Linked DNA regions of Anolis sagrei. The protein of the gene in region 2 interacts with the protein of the main gene of each other region in a pairwise test. Links are inferred from orthologs where the notes say so. Each region holds a gene or a part of one and is shown on either strand. Other genes may lie near its edges.

Evidence for each region. The genes of interacting proteins can lie anywhere in the genome.
Region 1: the proteins of RALGDS (region 2) and RAP1A interact in a two-hybrid assay, tested with the Homo sapiens proteins (3 studies listed by BioGRID and IntAct). The link is inferred for Anolis sagrei from reciprocal best matches to the Homo sapiens genes RALGDS and RAP1A.

Annotation. Positions count from the first base shown.
Region 1 is NC_090024.1:199,233,762-199,242,224, forward strand, and holds the start of RAP1A (ras-related protein Rap-1A), read left to right. Parts: upstream 1-5,055; 5' UTR 5,056-5,351; intron 5,352-8,463. UniProt on the Homo sapiens protein: Counteracts the mitogenic function of Ras, at least partly because it can interact with Ras GAPs and RAF in a competitive manner. Together with ITGB1BP1, regulates KRIT1 localization to microtubules and membranes.
Region 2 is NC_090031.1:18,839,193-18,846,808, forward strand, and holds the start of RALGDS (ral guanine nucleotide dissociation stimulator), read right to left. Parts: upstream 3,181-7,616; 5' UTR 2,965-3,180; coding exon 2,857-2,964; intron 1-2,856. UniProt on the Homo sapiens protein: Functions as a guanine nucleotide exchange factor (GEF) activating either RalA or RalB GTPases and plays an important role in intracellular transport. Interacts and acts as an effector molecule for R-Ras, H-Ras, K-Ras, and Rap.

The sequences.
Region 1 (8,463 bases), on a different chromosome or scaffold from region 2:
CCCAATGCTGCTGACGGACCATTGTTTTAAGACATTGTGGAACATGATAATAGTAGCTTCTATTACAGTTATGCCAAAGTCATTTTGTGTAATTAAAATGGTGACCTAATTGTGGCCTAATCTACAGATGAAGGTTGACTGAAACAATTTTACATTTCCATGAGTAACCATATATTCTTCATTAACATCTGTTCGACTGTTCCATTCATTTTGGCAATGACACAGAATTTGTGGTATATGGAATTTGTGGTATTTCTGTTCACAAGTATAATATGGACTGGAATGTCTATTTTTCAGCTGCCTTTCTTATATTAGTTATTAGCTTAGTTCTGTGTACTTGCATTATATTATTATATTGACATTGTTGCATTAGTTGATTTCTTATCCCCACTGTTTTTTTGTTGGTGCTGACTGAATTGTGCCATGCAGTAATCTAATATTGACCACAGCACTACTGTTTTCCCTTACCGTTGGCAAGAGAAAGGGGACAGAGAGCCCAATCGAGAAACCTTTACTTTGGAGTAGTTGGATGGGGCTGTGGACAGGAAGGCTAACTGAAACTGGGGCCCCTTCCACACAGCTGAATAAAATCCCATACTATCTGTTTTGAACTGGAATATATGGCAGCGTGGACTCAGATAACCCAATTCAAAGCAGATATTGTGGGATTTTCTGCCTTGATATTCTGGGATATAGGGCTATGTGGAAGGGCCCTTGGAGGCAGCCTTGAAAAGGGGAAAAAAAAGAAAAATAAACCTGCAACTGAAGAGCAGATCTAATTATATATTATCTATTCACACTTTCTTCCTTGATCTGTATGGTGTTAGCCAGAAAGACACTTTCACATCTGTTTTTAAAAGCAATTTTATTATTCAAGGCTTCCAAAGAACTGCAGTCTCTTTTTCCATCTTCAAGCCATTTTTACAATCTTGCTGCAGCATTTGAATAACTTTATGGTCATTTATGATCTACTGCTGAATACATCTTCAACTGATTTTATTAATGTACTAATAAAAGTTTGACATGAGAACACCACAAATACATGAGACAAGGAGGGGGAATATAGTGTATGACGAAGACGAAATCCATCCCAAAAGGAACATAGACTTAATGGTGAATTATAATCAAGGGCCCCAAAGACTAAACAACCCCAATATGTGGTTAACATTTAAGGTGACATACTAAATGAGACATTGTGGAAGTTGCAGTCCAAAAAGCTCTAACACAAACTGGGGGCCCTTCCACCCAGCTCTATATCCCAGAATATCAAGGCAGTAAATCCCACAATATCTGCTTTGAACTAGGTTATCTGAGTCCACACGCAGATAATGTGGGATTTTCTGCCTTGGTATTCTTGATATAGGGCTGCATGAAAGGGCCCTCATTTAAATTGTTGGGACATAGGTTCACCGTGTCTGACTTGTTCCATTGATTTTTGTGGGTCTACTCTAAGCACAACTGTAAAATATCCAATATTGTCCTCCCTTGCATCAACAAGATTGCAAGTATTATTTGTGTCATCTGTTTCCTTATACATGGCAGCAGTCATCCTTCATTCTGTGCTGTTAACAGTCAATAACACACTTTTTGTTCTGATAAGGAGGGAGTGGAGTTCTGTTTGCTCTCTTATTTTAGTGTAGATTGTTATTCCTATGCTACTTATGCCATCTTCATTGCTTGCTGTGGTCTTTACTTCAAAAACAAAGCAAAAGGATACCATGTACACACACTTAAAACCAGGCATTTAAAAATCCTGAAATGACAGTAAGCTCTAGAAATGGTCAGGGATATTTACCAAGACATTTGCAGGAGTTCTGAGAGAGCATTTTAATACTTCTTTAAGATGAAGATCCTCTTTGGAATCCTACCTATTTCCTGCACAAATTCTACTAAGAGCTTAAAAATAGGGTTTAGAGAGGTCTGAGTGATGTCTTTTTTTGTCATTCTGTGCCTTATGTCCAGCACTAAACCGAACTATGCCTGACTTTTGATTTTTAGAATATATATGTCTATTGTGTATTATCTTACACAATAGCTATACAGTTATATTTATACCCCATGTTTTCTCCAGTAAATCAAAAGAAATGTATATATATCGCTCTCTTCCCCACTTTTTATTTTCACAATAGTGATCCTGGAAGGGAGAGCAGGCTGAAATCAACTGGTCCAAGTCACTATGCAAGTTTCATGACTAGAATTTCCCAGTTAACACTAAACCATTTCCAGATCCTCCACCTAGGATCTGGAAATGGCAGTGCATATGCTGGTAACCACAGGTATGTGATGTCAAGAGGAAATCTTTACTTATTGATTCTCATGGAGGACCTCATCGCACTAGAGAACCAATCCACTTTAAATCTGGTTTCTGCCTCCTGCAGAATTCTGGGGTTTGTAGTTGAGTGGGACTGTTAAAAGCTCCCCCTTAAACTACAAACCCCAGAATTCTGCAGGAGGCAGAAACCAGATTTAAAGTGGATTCATGCTGTAGTGCAGGCATGGGAAAACATTTTTGCTTTGGGGCTGTATTATGGGCTCAACCAAGATGGCCAGGCTGGGAGGGAGAGGGCCTGTAAGAGGGTGGGGCCGGGGCAGGGCCTGGGTCAACCTAAGGTTGTCCTCTTGGCATAGGGATGCTTGCCCCTTGTGCCATAAGGATGCTCATCTCATCCTTGTGCCGGGAGGAAAAAAACAGGTGGCAACTGCTCCGATACTCCTTCCTGATCTTCGGGCTGTCCTCCGGAGCATTCTGGAGGTCTCTTAGCTGCTACATGCCTTCCTCGGGCCATCCTCTCAGCATAAGGATGGGACCACTCACACTGTCCTTATGCCAGGAGGGCAGGACATGCTGTGGCTGAGAGCACTCCAGAGGGATCTCAGTTGCTGCATGCCTTCCTCCCCTGTCCTTTCTGCATAAGGATACAGCAGGCCACCATGTCCTTATACTGAGAGGATAAGGAAAATGAGGGCCTGAAGTGGGTGCCCAGGGAGCCGTATCCAGCCCTCAGCCTTTAGTTTGCCCATTCCTGCTCTAGTGTGATGAGTCCAGGGTCGTAACTGGGGTGGGGGTGGGGTAAGAGTTCTAATTTCGCAAAAGGGTTCTAACACACACCCCTCCCCGAAACCTGGTTTACTCAAGAATTTTAAATGGTTAACCAAGTTATGAGTAAACCAGGTTTCTTTTGTAACCTTTAAAGATCTAAACAGTTCTGACCCTGATTACCTGTCCGAATGTATCTCCTGTTATGAACCATCGCGAAGTCTAAGGTCATCTGGAGAGGCCCTGCTCTCAATCCCACCACCAACGCAAACGCGATTGGTGGGGACGAGAGACAGTGGCTCCCCGTCTGTGGAACTCCCTTCCCAGGGACATCATACTGGCCACCTCCCTCCTGTCTTTCAGAAGGAAACTTCGACTAGCAACAAGTGGAAAGAAGACTCAGGCAACCCAGGACAATGAATTGACCCAGATTTGGATTTGGTTTTTAAATGGCATGTCTAATCAATTGTTTTTAATTAACTGTTTTAATGTATTTATTGAAATGTTTTATGATGGTGATGGCACTGTATGGTGCTTGTTGTGAGACTGCTCTGAGCCCCCCAGGCCCCCCTGCAACGGGGGTGAGAAAGGAGGGGTATTGTTGTTGTTCATTCGTTTCTGACTCTTTGTGACTTCATGAACCAGCCCATGCCAGAGCTCCTTGTCCGTCGTCACCACCCCCAGCTCCTTCAAGGTCAATCCAGTCACTTCAAGGATACCATCCATCCATCTTGCCCTTGGTCGGCCCCTTTTCCTTTTTCCTTCCATTTTCCCCAGCATCATTGTCTTCTCTAAGCTTTCCTTTCTTCTCATTATGTGGCCAAAGTACTTCATCTTGGCCTCTAGTATCCTTCCCTCCAATGAGCAGTCAGGCTTTATTTCTTGAAGTATGGACTGATTGGATCTTCTCGGTGTCCAAGGCACTCTCAGCACTTTCCTCCAACACCACTGTTCAAAAACATCTATCTTCCTTCGCTCAGCCTTCCCTATGGTCCAGCTCTCACATCCATAGGTGACTATGGGGAATACCATTGCTTTAACTATGCCAGTGTGATGTCTCTACTCTTCACTATTTTATCAAGATTGGTCATGGCTCTCCTCCCAAGAAGTAAGTGTCTCCTGACAGGCCGGTAGCCAGGATTTCGATTGGGGGGGGGGGGGGGTGAGTCTGAGTGAAAGAGGGTCTACCCCAGCAAACCTTTTGTATCGTTACCCCAATACCCCCGTGCATATGGGATATATTGAGTATGGTGATCAGATCATGATATGAATAAACATAACAGTTTAAATAATGCACCAGTAAGGCCTTTTCGCGAACCACCATGAGAATTTCGGGGGGGGGGGGGGCTGAAGCCTCTCACCCCCCCCCCCCCCGGCTACAAGTCTGTCTCCTGATTTTCTGGCTGGAGTCTGCGGGATATAAATCTATGAAATAAATAAATAAATAATAACATGGCACATTTCAGGGTAGGGTTGAATTTTACCCCCCCCCCCCCCCCCCCGCTATGGCCCTGGATGGGTCTCTTATTATTCTGCAAGTGACTGCAGTCCATCCCTTGGAGCCCCGCCTCCTAACTTTTTCCCTGCTGCGTGGAGAGAGAAGAGGAAGAAAAAACACACTCTTCCTATGCTCAGAGGCGATGAAGAAGACTCAGCATTAAATCCCAGTGGTTCTTTCCGGCTGTTCCAAGGTGCAGGAATCCAGAAATCCATTCTGGGAGGTGGAATGACCACAGCCTTGGGAGATTAGTCCTGCCGCAGCTGAAAAAGGAGCAAAGCCAAGCCGACAAAGGAGTAGTGCTGCAATACGCAGAAGGAAAGGCAGCTCTGTCCGGTGAGGACGTTTGTCCCTAGTTTCCAGCCACGAAAGGAGACGCAAAGAGGGCAGTGGAAAGGGACAGTTCTTCCCCACAAGCAGTGGAAAGGGGCAGGCTCAGCGTTGGAAGCGAAGCCAAGGCTGGGCCAACCCCCGCCCCGCTTGCTCGCTCGCTTGCTTCCTTCCTCTTGCTCTCCAACTCTTTGCTGGCCCGCCTTTGCGCGCCCTCGCTCCTCCTTTTGCCGGCTCCTCCTCCTCCTCCTCTTTCCCCGATCGCAGGCAGGAAAAGGGGGGCCGAAAGGAGGGAGGAGGAGGAGGAGAAGCAGCCACTGACGCGTCCTCCCTCGGCTGAGCTTCCCGCAAAGGCAAGGCGCCGAAGAGCCGGAGAGAAAAGCGAGAGCAACCCAGGCGCTTGGAGAAAGCCAACCAACTGGAGACACAGACGCACACAGAGAGGAAGAGGCTGCGCGCTGGCTCCCGGCGATCAGCAGCAACGGGGTGAGCCAAAAAAGGGGGCGAATCCGTCTCTCCTGCCGGGCCCAGCGCTTCTTTCTCCGCCTGCCAGGCCGAGGGGCCCGCTTGCTTCCCTTTTTGGCTCCTAGCCCGGCTGAAGAGGGCGCGGGTGGCTCTCTTTCCCGTGCGCAAAAACTGGGAGGAGAAGGAAAAGGAGGAGGAAGGCGCGTCTCCGAAGGGAAAAGGAGGGAAGGAGGGGGAATGGTCCCGTTGGGGGGGGGGGCATCTGTATGCATCTGTGGGTCAGAGACACCCGCAGACACTTCTCTGGCTTGGCTCCAAGCGGGCTGTCAGCGCGTCTCCCTTGCCGAGTCCTCCTTTTTTCCCCTGGCTGCGTGTGCGTAAAATAGCCGGAGGCAGCCAGGGAAAAAAAGGAGGACTCGGCAAGGGAGACGCGCTGACAGCCCACCCGCCTGCTTCCCTGCCAAGAAGGAGTGCCCACCAAAGAGTCAGCTGTGTGTCTGTGTTGCAATTGTGGCTCTTGAGCCAGATCTGGCCTCCAGCCTCCCTTCCCAAGGAGAAGCCACGCTCCCATTCTTAAGAGAGTGCCTTTCTTGGGATCTGGCACCGCGCACAGAAAAGCCACGTTTTCTCCCTCGGTTTCCTCCTCTCTTCCTCTCTCCCGGATTGCCTTTTGTGTTGGTGGACTTCTCTCCCAGGCTGGACGGGAAGTAGGACCTTTTCTGAAACCCTTGGGAGTGGCCAAAGGGGAGCCAGCCACTCACTGCTGGAGTGTTTTCCAACCCTGCGCCAAAGGTGGAAGGGATGGGCTCCTCCTCGAAGACTAACTCTGCTGCTTCCCAGTTTTGGGGAACTTCAACTCCCAGAATCCTTGGTCGTTGGCCAAAGCAGCAGGGACTTCTGGGAGTTGAAGTCCTTTGTGTGTGTGTGTGTTGCTTTCTTTTTTATTTTCTCTTTATTTGCTGTCCATGCATGCTCAGGGCCCTTCCACACAGCCCTCTATCCCAGAATATCAAGGCAGGAAATCCCATGTTATCTGAGTTATCAGGGCCCTTCCACATAGCTGAATAGAATCCCACATTATCTGCTTTGAACTGGGATATATGGCAGTGTGGACTCAGGTAACCCAACTCAAAGCAGGTATTGTGGGATTTTCTGCTTTGATATTCTGGGGTAAAGGGCTTTGTGGAAGGACCCCCAATTCAAAAGCAGATATTGTGGGATTTTCTGACTTGATATTCTGGGATAAAGGGCTGTGTGAAAGGGCCCTCAGAAGGATATTCTGGAGATCTATGTGTTGTCGAAGGCTTTCATGGCCAGAATCACTGGTTTGCTGTGAGTTTTCCTGTCTTTATGGCCATGTTCCAGAAGCAATCTCTTCTGACGTTTCACCTGCATCTATGGCAGGCATCAAGAGAGAATGCTTCTGGAACATGGCTATGCAGCCCAGAAAACTCTCAGCAACATAGGCACCTTCCACACAGCTGAATAAAAGCCCACATTATCTGCTTTGATATTGGAATATATGGCAGTGTGGACTCAAGACCCTTTCATACAGCCCTATATCCCAGAATATCAAGGCAGGAAATCCCATATTATCTGAGTGTGGACTTTGGGCCCTTCCACACAGCCCTATATCTAGAATATCAAGGCAGGAAATCCCACAATATTTGTTTTGAACTGGGTTATTTGAGTCCACACTGACACATATTACAGTTCAAAGCTGATAATGTAGGATTTTATTCAGATAACCCAGTTCAAAGCACATATATTGTGGGATTTTTTAATTATTTTTTTTTTGCAGAAGGCCCCCAGTTGATCAATATCAGTGTTTAGCAAACGTTGGTTTTCCAGTGTTGCCTTTCCTCCATGCCCAGTGTGGGATTCTAGGGACGGTTAATCTAGGGGCCCTTCCACACAGCCCTATAACCCAGAATGTCAAGGCAGAAAGTCCCACAATATCTGCTTTGAACTGGGATACCTGAGTCCACACTGCCATATATACCAGTTCAAAGCTGATAATGTTGGATTTTATTCAGCTGTGTGGAAGGGGCCTCTATCAGTGTGTTCCCAACTCTGGTCTTCCAGGTGTTTTGAATTCCAACTCCAGAGCAGATAAAAGTCCAAAACACCCGAAGGACTGGGAGTCACAGCTTTAAAGGATTTAGCATGGCTGGGCTTTTAGCTTCTAATGGGCGTAGTGCAGCACAGGGCCCTTCCTGACAGGCCCTATATCCCAGGACCTGATTTTGTTTATGATAGATTATTTGGCAGTGCAGACCCATAATCCAGTTTAAAGCAGAAAACATGGGATCAGTTCCTGGGATATAGGGTCTGTCTGGAAGGGCCCACAAACTGTTTGACTTCTTGCTAACTTGGATCTGTTGGAAGTTGTAGCTTAAGTTGATGGATGATATTATTATTTTTTGATATACAACAAGATTAGTACACAGCAAACAAGATCACTATGCTGACTTTTGTATTCGATCACATGTCGCACACTTTCCAAGTGTCTAGGATTGTATGATGTATCTGCAAATAATGCGTGCAGATCCGAGTAGGGTGGCCTTTTGTAGCTGATAGATGGTAATTTTGTCAGCGCTGATTGTTTTTCAGTGCAGGCCAAGGTCTTTAGGCACTGCACCCAGTGTGCTGATCACCACTGGGACCACCTTTACTGGCTTGTGCCAGAGTCTTTACAGTTTGATCTTTAAATACAGGAGTTTCCTAGCATCACCTTCTGGGTATGGTTCTTGAGGAAGAAATGGAGCCATTGTAAAACATTGCCTCCCATTCCCCTCCCAGCGAGATGGTACTCAGAGAAGGAATTCTTGGGAAATTGGCACAGTGGCCATTCTGCTCTGTAGTCTCTGTGTGGTATATATACTTGACGCCCCTTATTCATGGATTGTGGTAGATAACCACAATTTTTACTTACCCATATTACAGAATATGTTTGTGAACTTCTCTGGGTTCTCCAACATGATGCTGGTCCAAATGTAGTTAAAATATGAGATGTGTCATTATCCATGGTTTTAGGTATCCTTTAATTGTTTGTGTGTCCCCTTGGCGATATAGTGCTGGTTATAAATAAAGCATTATTATTATTATTATTATTATTATTATTATTATTATT
Region 2 (7,616 bases):
TCTGAACCCCAAACTTGGCACACAGGACTCCCATGACCAACAGAAAGTGTTTGGTGGGAATTGAGTTTTGGAGCTGTAGTTCACCTCCATCCAGAGAGCACTGTGGACTCAAACAATGATGGATCTGGACCAAGCTTGGCATGAATGCTCAATATGCCCAAATGTGAACACTGGTGAAGTTTGGGGAAAATAGGTCTTGACATTTGGGAGTTGTAGTTGATGGATTTATAGTTCACCTACAATCAAAGAACATTATGAACCCCACCAATGATGAAATTGAACCAAACTTGGCACACAGGATTCCCATGACCAAGAGAAAATACTGAGAGGATTCAGTGGGCATTGACCTTGAGTTTTGGAGTTGTAGTTCACCTACATCCAGAGAGCACTGTGGGCTCAAACAATGATGGATCTGGACCAACTCTGCTGGACTGAAGGCCATGTTGTCCGAATACCCAAAGATCACTGTCTCCCAAAGGAGTTACTCTACTCCAAACTCCAGAACAGGAAATATAATGTTAGTGGACAGGGAAAGATGTTCAAAGATGGGCTCAAAGCCAATCTCAAAAACTGTGACATAGACACCAAGAGAGAACTGGGAAGCTCTGGCTCTTGAGCGCTCTGTGACCAGCAGTGCTGAAGAATTCGAAGAGGCACGAATGGAGGGCGAAAGGGAAAAATGTGCCAAGAGGAAGGCACGTCAAGCCAACCCCAACTGGGACCACCTTCTGTCTGGAAACCGACGTCCTCACTGCGGGCTCCACAGCCACCTACAGACCCACCGCCAAGACACCACATCTGGAAGACCATCATCCTCGAGCTACAAGGGATCGCCTAAGTAAGTAAGCAAGCAGCCTGGCCATCAATCTCTGAACCAGTTGGAGTTTCAGAACTATCTTCAAAGGCATAGACAGCATTGCAGCAGTCCAAGCAGGATGTGACTAAGGCATGGACTCCCATGGCCAGGTCTGGCGTATCGAGGGACAAGCTGGTGCACAAGCTGTGCAAAGGCACTCCTGGTTCAGCAATGAGCTCAGCAATGAGTCCAGGGTCAGGACCAGGCTGCAGACCTATGTCTTCAGGGGGAGTGGGTCCCCATCCAACACCTTGATCCACCTTCCGACTGACCAGGAGGACCTCTGTCTTGCCTGGATTTACGAGGTTGAATGAAAAGTAATGCCTCCACCTTTGTAACTCCTAGATGTCACCCCCAAAGGAGATTCATCAGAGGATTCAAGCTGTTTATGGGGATTGTGTTGACGTGAGTACTGTTTGTCTTTGGGCGAGTAAGTTTAAAGATGTTGAGGTGACACCTTCTGCTGTCAATAATTCAATGACTGCATGTTGCTTAAGTTGCATTGACTGACCGTCTGCGCAGGGTTCCATACTTCGCAATTTAACAACACAACCGTTCAATGCTAAGGCTTCCTGCCAAAATGGAACTGTAGAGGAGAGTCTACTGAACAAGCCAGTACCTGCCGCATACCAGTACTGCCATCTGTTGAGGAGTTACAAAGGTGGAGGCATTACTTTGCATTCAACCCTCGAACCTTCAACTGATTAGCCCTCCCCCAGCCCATCCCAGCCTTGCATATGACAGATATGGCTGTGTCCTCCAAGATAATAATAATAATAATAATAATAATAATAATAATAATAATTGTAGAAGAATGGCTGTGTCCACCGAGATCATCATCATCATAGTAATAATAATAGTAGTAGTAGTAGTAGTAATAATAGTAGAAGAGCAACTGTGTCCACTGAGATCATCATCCTCATCACCATCATAGTAATAATAATAGTAATAATAATAGTAGAAGAGCAGCTGTGTCCACTGAGATCATCATCCTCATCACCATCATAGTAATAATAATAGTAATAGTAATAATAATAGTAGAAGATCAGCTGTGTCCACTGAGATCATCATTATATCATCATCATCATCATCATCATCATAGTAATAATAATAATAATAATAATAATAGAAGAGCAGCTATGTCCACTGAGATCATCATCATCACCATCATCATAGCAATAATAATAATAATAATAATAATAGTAGTAGTAGTAGTAGTAATAGTAGAAGAGGAGCTGTGTCTACTGAGACCATCATCCTCATCACCATCATACTAATAATGATAGTAATAGTAATAATAATAGTAGAATAGCAGCTGTGTCCACTGAGATCATCATATCCCCCATCATCATCATCATCATCATCATCATCATATCATCATCATCATAGTAATAATAGAAGAGCAGCTATGTCCACTGAGATCATCATCATCATCATCATCATCATCATCATAGTAATAATAATAGTAGTAGTAGTAGTAGTAGTAGAAGAAGAGGAGCTGTGTCCACTGAGACCATCATCCTCATCACCATCATACTAATAATAATAGTAATAGTAATAATAGTAGAAGAGCAGCTGTGTAAACTGAGATCATCATCATCATATCATCATCATAGTAATAATAGTAATAATAGAAGTGCAGCTATGTCCACTGAGATCATCATCATCATCATAGTAATAATAATAATAACAGTAATAATAATAGTAGAAGAACAGCTGTGTCTACCAAGATCATCAAATAATAACAATAATAACAATAATAATAATAATAGAAGAAGAAGAGCAGCTGTGTCCACTGAGATCATAGTAATCCCCACAGTAATAATAATAGTAATAATACTCGAAGGCCGGAGCACCTGTGAGCCAAGGCAACAGCCACAGCGGAGACCCTTGAGTGTGGGAACAGGTGAAATAGGTGGGTGGGGGCACGGAGGGGTGAGCGTGCGCGTGCCTGTGTGTGTGGGGATCCCCCCCCCCTTTTTGCCACAAATCCTACTTACATAGTATTCCTCCTGGCTGTGCTGGAGGCTGAGGGGAATGTCCAGCATGCACATCTGGAAGGGCTGCACCAGCGCCTTCTGCATGCAGAACAAAGGCTTGGGCTCCATCTCTGCCTGCTGCTCCTGCTGCGGTGGCGGCGGCTTCCCCCTTTCCCCTGCTCCAACGGGGCTTCAACCAAGAACAGGGAGGCAGGGGGCCCCCTGCTGCTGCTGGGCATGGTCTCCCAAGGAGGCTCTCCCGCTTGCTGCCAGGATGCGCATGCAGCAGCAGCAGAAGCAGAGCCAACCGCAACCGCACACCCCCCTTGGGCTGCAGGAAAGGGGTCGAGGGGAGGGGCAGCTGGGAGGGAGGGAGGAAAGGCAGCCCACCCCTCACCCCTCAGCAGACCACCCTGCCCTTCTTTGCACAGGCTCTCCTCTCCTGGCAATGGGTGGGAAGAGGAAGGGGTCTCCTTGCAGAGAGAGAAAGTGGGGTGCAAACACACACACACACAATAATAATAATAATAATAATAATATCCCCCAATAAACAGAATAATGCCCCCAAATAAACAAAATAATAATAATGCCCGATAATAATAATAGTAATAATAATGATGATTATGATGGTGATGATGCTAGAATAAAAATATAATAATAATAATAATAATAATAATAATAATAATAATAATAATAATACCAGAATAAAAAATATAATCATAGAATCATAGAATCAAAGAGTTGGAAGACCTCATGGGCCATCCAGTCCAACCCCCTGCCAAGAAGCAGGAATATTGCATTCAAATCACCCCTGACAAATGGCCATCCAGCCTCTGCTTAAAAGCTTCCAAAGAAGGAGGCTCCACCACACTCCGGGGCAGAGAGTTCCACTGCTGAACGGCTCTCACAGTCAGGAAATTCTTCCTAATGTTCAGATGGAATCTCCTCTCTTGTAGTTTGAAGCCATTGTTCCATATTATAATAATAATAATATGAAATCCAGCATATATATCTGATTTGCTGTGACATACTGTGTTTTTGTGTCAGTCAAATAATAATAATAATAATAATAATAATAATAATGTCCCCCAATAAACAGAATAATGATAATGCGCCCAAATAAACAAAATAATAGTAATAATAATGCCCCCATAATAATGATGATGATGATGATGATAATAAAAACAATAATAATGGTGCTAGAGTGAAAATATAATAATAATATAATTCCAGAATAAAAATATTATAATAATAATATGAAATCCGGCATATATGTCTGATTTGCTGTGACATACTGTGTTTTTATGTCAGTCAAATAATAATAATAATAATAATAATAATAATGTCCCCCAATAAACAGAATAATGATAATGCGCCCAAATAAACAAAATAATAGTAATAATAATGCTCCCATAATAATGATGATGATGATAAAAACAATAATAATGGTGCTAGAGTAAAAATATTTATTTATTTATTTATTTACTTATATACCGCTGTTCTCAGCCCGGGGGCGACTCACAGCGGTGTACAACAGAGGAACAACAACATTCAAGACACAGTATAAAAACAATTCACAATCCAGCATTATACAAAAACCATTCAGTGTCGTCTCATCGTCCAAACCACAATCCAATATCGTTTTCCATTGTTCCGTTCCTATAGTCATTACCAATCATAATATAAAATATAATAATAATATAATTCCAGAATAAAATATATAATAATAATAACAAAAACAAAAAAACCCATAGTTGGATCATGAATGTTGCAATCCCAGGTGAAAGCAGGATTGAAGAGAAACAACTGGAAAAGCTGACACGATATGAGGATTGAAATACTGAACTGCAAAGACTCTGGCACAAGTCAGTCAAGGGGGTCCCAGTGGGGATCGGCACACTGGGCGCAGTGCCTCAAGATCTTGGCCTGGACACAATCGGCGCTGACAAAATCCCCTCACAATCTCTGAGGATGCCTGCCATAGATGCAGGTGAAACGTCAGGAGAGAATGCTTCTGGAACATGACCAGACGGCCCAAAAAAATTACAGTAACCCAATAAGAATAACAATAACATTACATAAATAAATAAATAAATAAATAAATGTAGCTCCAGCAACACACACACACATATATGATCAAGAATCCCGGAAGAACCCTTTCCCCGCTGAGAAGGATTACTCTTTCTGGAGTGGATCTCCCTTGCTTCCAAGGGGTGGATTCCTCCTCTTTCCTGTTTTCTCACTGGTCTTAACTAAGAGTCATTTGAAACTCGGGGAGGGACAGCCTGTATCAGGATGCCACTACAACCGGAGGAAGAGGCCGTGGGTACCCAACTCCCATCTCCATGGAGACAGACGGATGTGTGGTTGCTGTGCCAACGGGGGAACGCACCACGGGGCAGAATCGGGGGCCCGCTGCGGCAGGAAAGGGCTTGCACGGCCCCTGAGGATGGCAAGAGCACATCAACACGAAGGAAGGAAAACACCTTCCCGCTGGTGGCCTGCAGGTCTCCGCTGGAGCTTCGCCTCAGCCCTTGCGTCAACAACAAGCCAATCTTGGCACATTCTCACAGGGATGGGAAGCCAGGAGGAACCTTCTGAACAGAGGCACAGGGGAGCTCACCTACCTCTATGCCATCCAAAGCTAATGATATAGATTTGGCTGGAGTGCCACTTCATAAAGGAACCGGTTCAGACTTAACATACCTCTCTTGTTTGTAACTTGGGGCCTGTATATCAAAGAGGGGGAATTTCACACAAACACACACATATATAGATAGCATATGGAAGGGTATGTATATTTGGCTGGAGTGTGTGTGTGTGTGTGTGAGGAGTGACTTGGGAAGTTGCTTCTGGTGTGAGACGTTGCCCAGGGGACGTTGTCTGGATGCTTGATGTTTTTTGCCATCCTTGTGGGAGGCTTCTCTCATGTCCCCGCATGGGGAGCTGGAGCTGATAGAGGGAGCTCCTCTGCCCTCCCCATTCGAATCTCCAACCTGTCGGTCAGCAATCCTGCCGGCAGGAGAGTTTAATCCACTGCGCCACCCGCAGCTCCATTAATACTCAAGACTGTTACACAGCAAACAAGATCACTCTGCTGGCTGTTGTATAGGATCACATGTTGGACACTTCCCAAGTGTGTAGGACTGTGTGATGTATTGGCAAATAATGTGTGCAGATCCCAGTAGGGTGGCCTTTTGCAGCGGACAGATGGTGATTTGGTCACTGCCTATTGTTTTTAAGTGTAGGCCAAGGTCTTGAGGCACTGCACCCAGTGTGCCGATCTGCACTGGGACCCCCTTGACTGGCTTGTGCCAGAGTCTTTGCAGTTCGATCTTTAAATCCTCGTCTCGTGCCACCTTTTCCAGTTGCTTATCAAACCTGCTGTTTGTTTGTTTATTTATTTATTATTATATTATGTTGATTATCTTAATTTCTGTCCTGCCTTTCTCCACATAGGGACTCAAGAAGGCTAATAAGGCCGAGCAGCAGGGCGAGGGCGTCAAGTAGCAGGGCTCCAGAACAACCCCACACAGACGCCGGTTTTAGTTATCAAAGAAATGAGAAATGCGGCTTTTTTATCCGAAGCAAATCCGACAAATAAAACAAAAAAGAGGAAAATTCCAGCAATAATAAGAAATAAACAAACAGGAAGCGATTGGAATGGAAGAAGACCATACGTGCTTGCTTTTTGCTGTTGACCAGATTGAAAACTCAAACTCTCTGCATTGTCTCAATGTACGCAGCATGGGATTATTATTGTTATTATTGTTATTATTATTATTATTATTATTATTATTATTCGTATCTCCGGCCACAGCCGCTCCCTTTGGTGGAGCCACCGCAACATGTTTTTTAATGGATACACAAGAAAAACTCAAAGGCCTGTTTTTTCTCAAGACACACCTTTCAAGGTTTTTAAATTGTTTCATATCTACATATATAAAAATGCTCTGTGCATTATGAGTATCTTAAAAACGAAAGAACCAATGAACGAAATCACACCAAATTTGGGAACAAAACGTCTCACAATACAAGGAGTGACCATCGCTCAAAAAATTATGACTTTGTCATTTGCGAGTTGTAGTTTATTTATTTATTTATTTACTTTATTTGTATACCGCTCTTCTCAGCCCTTAGGCGACTCAGAGCGGTTTACAACAGTTTAGATATATACTATAGTTGCTGGGATTTATAGTTCACCTACAATCAAAGAGCATTCTGAACTCTATTAACGATGGAATTGAACCAAACTTGGCACACAGAACTCCCATGACCAGCAGAAAATACTGGAAGGGTTTGGTGGGCATTGACCTTGAGTTTGAGAGTTGTAGTTCACCTTCATCCAGAGAGCACTGTGGACTCAAACAATGATGGATCTGAACCAAACTTGGCACAAGCACTCAATACGTCCAAATATGAACACAGATGGAGTTTGGGGGAAATAGACCTTGACATTTGGGAGTTGTAGTCACTGGGATTCACAGTTCTCCTACAATCAAAGAGCAGTGGGTTGTTGTAGGTTTTTTCGGGCTATATGGCCATGGTCTAGAGGCATTCTCTCCTGACGTTTCGCCTGCATCTATGGCAAGCATCCTCAGAGGTAGTGAGGTGCATCTATGGCAAGCATCCTCAGAGGTAGTGACCTCACTACCTCTGAGGATGCTTGCCATAGATGCAGGCAAAATGTCAGGCGAGAATGCCTCTAGACCATGGCCATGTAGCCCAAAAAAACCTACAACAACCCAGTGATTCCGGCCATGAAAGCCTTAGACAATACA